Kluyveromyces lactis: one gene and its partner. The protein of the gene in region 1 binds, or shares a complex with, the protein of each later gene. Links are inferred from orthologs where the notes say so. Each region holds a gene or a part of one and is shown on either strand. Other genes may lie near its edges.

Evidence for each region.
Region 2: RPP1A (region 1) and RPL30 share a complex: the UniProt entries of both Saccharomyces cerevisiae proteins name them as parts of the large ribosomal subunit. The link is inferred for Kluyveromyces lactis from reciprocal best matches to the Saccharomyces cerevisiae genes RPP1A and RPL30.

Annotation. Positions count from the first base shown.
Region 1 is NC_006041.1:1,966,598-1,968,894, forward strand, and holds RPP1A (ribosomal protein P1), read right to left. Parts: upstream 1,039-2,297; coding exon 718-1,038; downstream 1-717. Other genes in the region: KLLA0_E22001g (60S ribosomal protein eL13), read left to right, coding at 1-260; SIP5 (Sip5p), read right to left, coding at 1,696-2,297. UniProt on the Saccharomyces cerevisiae protein: Component of the ribosome, a large ribonucleoprotein complex responsible for the synthesis of proteins in the cell.
Region 2 is NC_006041.1:955,151-957,835, reverse strand, and holds RPL30 (60S ribosomal protein eL30), read left to right. Parts: upstream 1-1,579; coding exon 1,580-1,582; intron 1,583-1,818; coding exon 1,819-2,133; downstream 2,134-2,685. Other genes in the region: KLLA0_E10869g (60S ribosomal protein eL24), read right to left, coding at 1-349; GPC1 (glycerophosphocholine acyltransferase), read left to right, coding at 2,526-2,685. UniProt on the Saccharomyces cerevisiae protein: Component of the ribosome, a large ribonucleoprotein complex responsible for the synthesis of proteins in the cell.

The DNA of each region.
Region 1 (2,297 bases):
AAAGATTGAAGGAATACCAATCTAAGATCATCGTCTTCCCAAGAAAGGGTAAGGCTCCAGAAGCTGAACAAACTTTGTCTGCTGCTGCCTCTTTCCCAATTGTCCAACCAGTTACTGACTCTGAAACCAGAGCTGTTGAAGACAACGGTGAATCTGCTTACAGAACTTTGAGATTGGCTAGATCCGACAAGAGATACAAGGGTATCAGAGAAAAGAGAGCTAAGGACAAGGCTGAAGCTGAAGCTGAAAAGAAGAAATAAGCAACTCCATACCTTTTATTCAAATACTAGACAAAACGTTGTTTTATTTTATAAATATCTTTTAATCAAATTATCTTTCCGTCATTAAGAATTAATGTCACCGCATCCCCTTTCTCAATAAGTTTCCTGTTTGGTAATTATGAGACATTGTCTACCGTGTAAAAAAACGTATAAACTATAATATTTTACATCTAATTCAAATTATCAGATTATCAATTTGTCTAATGATATTATGGAACCTTATACGATCCTACTTATATTTCAAAGTGTCACTAGTGATGAGATGCTTTGAAGATTGGACGTTTGTGTATTAAAAACGGTTGATTATATATACATATTTGTGTATACACTCAAATGATGTGTTATTTGATTCTCAAATTTAACGTAGTAAGTAGTAGCTTAATGCGCTAGTAATAAAAACAGAATTTATTCCTCCTATGTTAAAAGTTAACCTAATTTAATCGAACAAACCGAAACCCATGTCATCATCGGATTCTTCCTTGGCTTCTTCTTCCTTTTCTTCAGCAGCAGCTTCTTCGGCACCGGCAGCAGCACCACCAGTAGCAACTGGAGCAGCACCACCAGCACCAGCTTCGAACTTGACCAACAAGTCCTTGATGTTTTGCTTAGCCAAAGCCTTAGCAAAGATATCAGCCCAGATACCTTCAACTGGGACGTTGGCAGCTTCAGTCAAAGCCAACAACTTTTCAGAAGAGACTTCGATATCAGCATCAGCCAAGATCAAAGCAGCGTAAGACAAAGCAGTTTCAACAGACATTTCTAATGTAAAATTTCCTGGTTCTGGCAAGTGTAGAGATAATCAGATTAAGCTCGTAATGAAGCAGACTATTTCTTTGGTCCTTTGAAAATAAGAGAAACTAAATAATAAAACGATATAAGTAATAAGAATATTTCATAAAAGAAGCTTCAAATTGAACAAATGCCATCATGTGTAAAACAAATACTTTTCCTATCGAAATGTTAAATGGTTACTCCTGTAAGTTTTATTGATATTTCACATCTCATCGTGGAAAGGTGAAAAATTTCAGGAAAAGCTGCGTGGTTTCGTCAGGCATGATAATTCGTGTGATGTGATATAATGTTTCTGCATGAAACGCTGGATGTACAGAGTCAGCGTAGATGTACAAGGGAGAATCCCTGATATTGAGTCGGAGTGAGTCCGCAGATGGGTGCTATATTCCACATAATATTCTATGTTTTATAAACATATATATACTCGCGCGCAGTGTTACTGATGAGTGTACCTTGTATCTTAAGGTATGATGCGAAAGTTATGGGATTGTTAAAAGATGCATGCAAAGTGAAGTAATTTGCGAATGTGTTGATTGTATCTGTCGTTAGTCGTGAAGGTAATGAAGGAGACAGCAGTGCAGGAGAAAATGCTTTCAGTTCATGAAATAAGCTCCAAATTAGGTTAATGATCCTGCAAACTTAGTTTGATTGCTTGTTGGAGCATTTCGTCATCCAGTTCTTCTAATGTTTTCTGACGACGTTGAGGACTATTCCCTCCGTCAGGGCCTCCAACTGAAGAAGAAATGGATGCGTGTCTAGAAGGGTGTTCGGGATCAATTAATTGATTACTCATGTGTATTGCAGTAGCTTTTGCTGATCTTCTAGCGAGTCTTAATCTTTCTTTGGTTAGATTGATCTCCCAGTCAGGTCTTATAGAATCGGATGTTATCACAGACGGATCATCGGCTGCTATTGAGCCCCTACGAATTTGTTCTATAGTTACGAGTTCGTCATCTTCATTGCTGCTAGAATCCGATACTAGGCCTTCACGGTCCTTGTATTCGGCAATCTTGTATTCGGAAGCGTAGATCCCGTTGATTCCAGTCCGCACGTCCCTGCGCGGTTCGTATGTTACACCAAACTCTGCAGTGGCACAGTAAGGGCAATTGGCAGGTTCACTGACAAGAAGGTTGGGATCCTTCAATTCGTCCGGTTCTTGATCTTGAGTTGGATCTACCTCTTCATGCGGGAAGTGTGGTGCGGCACGCTTGATTTGGACGAAGC
Region 2 (2,685 bases), about 1.0 Mb from region 1:
TCTTCTTTTCCTTGTCAGCCTTCTTCTTTTCGTCTCTTTGGGCCTTTCTAACTTCTGGCTTCAAAGATCTTCTTTCCTTGATCAATTCCAAAGAAGCACCGACAACAGCTCTTTGAGCCTTGACGGACTTTCTAGTTCTCTTTCTGGCAACTTCTTCAGTGATACCCTTCTTGTGGTGTCTTCTGTACAAGACAGTCCAAGCAATTCTTCTTGGGTTCTTTCTTTGGTGGAACAAAGAAGCGGACTTGGAAGATTGGAATCTGAAGATCTTGGAGTCACCACGGACAAACAAGGTACCTCTACCTGGGTAAATCTTAGCACCGGAAAAGGAATCAATTTCGACCTTCATTTCTTATCTGTAATTCAAATTTGCGATAACGTTATTAACTTGTTAGTAAATCTTTTGCTTTGGAAAATATCAAACGGTATAACAACATGACAGTACTGGTATGCAGCGTTATGAGTGAAAGACCTGTATATTCCTAATCTTCCTTCTCTGTTCATTGTATTGGCTTTACAGTGTGAAAATATGTCATAAGTTCTGATGGCTATCATTTAAAATATTGGTCTAACCGCAAATTCAGAAAATTAGTGCGATCACGGTACATCAATCATGCACGTTAATTTATCCTGTTCATTATTCTATCCATTATTCTATCATATTGGCAATGGCCTCACTCTCAAACTCAATCTTTCAAACGTTCCGGTATTCTCATCCATTCGTTCATTCATTCAGAACTCTCTTCTCAACACGCGGTCTGTACTATATTTGTGTCAGTCGTATATGGAGGCGTATGGTGCATACTTTTTCACTTGATTGGCTTGGTCTATCTAAACAAAGGCCTCTATTAAAACGTATATATGTCTTAATTGGACCTGTACACACTAATTAACTTGTTATTCTCTGTAATTGTTGATTCCAAAATTGTTAAATTGTGAGAAATGTCGAAGACAGGCCAAGCTGCCTGGAACAGGTCCTAGCTCTGAGCCTAGGCTCAGGACCATTCCTGTCCAGAGTCCAGCGCATGAGCAGACCATTGGAGCACTGTGGCCAGGTGGGACGTGAGCTGGAGAGTCTGGTTCAGAGTGGGATTGCTGCTGAGGGAAGTGTATGACTGTCTGCCTAGGAATCCTCTCCCAGCATCCTAGAGGGTGGATCCAATGGGAGGCCTTGCTGGAAAGCTAGCCAGACAGAGGGAACTGCCCCTGTCCAGGCAGCCTTCCCTCAGGAAGAACTGAAATTGGAAAAAAGTGAGAATATGCATTTCCTAATACAGTAATTCGCGCCGTTTTCAAAGCAAATTCAAAGTTTACATCCGTACACCACTTTCTGTTCGTTACGAAAACAGTCTCAAACACTCCTATTGTTACCCTGACAGGATAAGACCACACACAAGACTTTCCACATCTTTACTGAAAAGTTTCAACAGTTTCTCATCTCTCAATGATACAAATAAGACAAAGCTTGTTATACATCTTGACGTTGTCTTCTACTATTTTATGCTCGTCTCTTGATTTATAGTCTTAAAAAACCAGACCGGAGTGTTCAGATAGATATCACCAGTTAAAATACACAGAGATGGTCAGTATACTTTGTTCTATGCGCTAGTCGCCCGAATCGAATCTAATAAAACAAGCAACCCATCGACGGTAGAAGAAATGACTTCACTTTCGTTTAAAGCTTGGCGTTTGACGTTTTCGGAATAGGGCCTCTTTGCATTACTTGGATTCTTAATTGGAACCATTTTACTAACAGTTTTTCAAACTTTTATTATGTGGGAAAACCCTCGCATATAATTGCTTCTTCTATTTGTTCAGGCCCCAGCTAAGAACCAAGAAAACATCAACCAAAAGTTGGCTTTAGTCGTTAAGTCCGGTAAGTACTCTTTGGGTTACAAGTCTACCGTCAAGTCTTTGAGACAAGGTAAGGCTAAGTTGATCATCATCGCTGCCAACACCCCAGTCTTGAGAAAGTCTGAATTGGAATACTACGCCATGTTGTCCAAGACCAAGGTCTACTACTTCCAAGGTGGTAACAACGAATTGGGTACCGCTGTCGGTAAGTTGTTCAGAGTCGGTGTCGTTACCATTTTGGATGCCGGTGACTCCGATATCTTGACTGCTTTGGCTTAAACAGGATAGAAAACTCTCTAGTCTATCTTAGAATGTTTCTTTCCTATTTATAACAACTGTTTTCATTTTGTATAATATGTAACCATATTTACTCGCCGTTATTTCATTATAATAGAATATGAGTATTATACAGGTCAAGTTTCACTTCTGAGCTTAAAAGCTTCCATGCAGATCGGATATGCAACAGTTACTTGAAACTACTTCTTATTCACGTGACTGCTTTGAGCATGTGAAATTGTTCCAAAGCCTAGGTATATAAACAACAATATATACGAACCGAATAAGGACCTCAAAGGGACAAAGGGGAAAGCACTTGGTTATCTCAGGTGCAGACCCATATCTCGATACACTATTTGCTAAGGAAACTGGTTGCTTAACCGAAAGGCATCGCGATGACTGACCAACAGTCTTTTAGAACTCGGTTGGCCACGTTCATTGAGTTTTTGGACCCTATCGCATCGACTGTCCAATCCTACAGCCAGCCCTCGAAACAATTCATCAAACAGAAATTAACCAATGGTAAACAGAAGCTCCAGTTTAGAGATCAGGAAA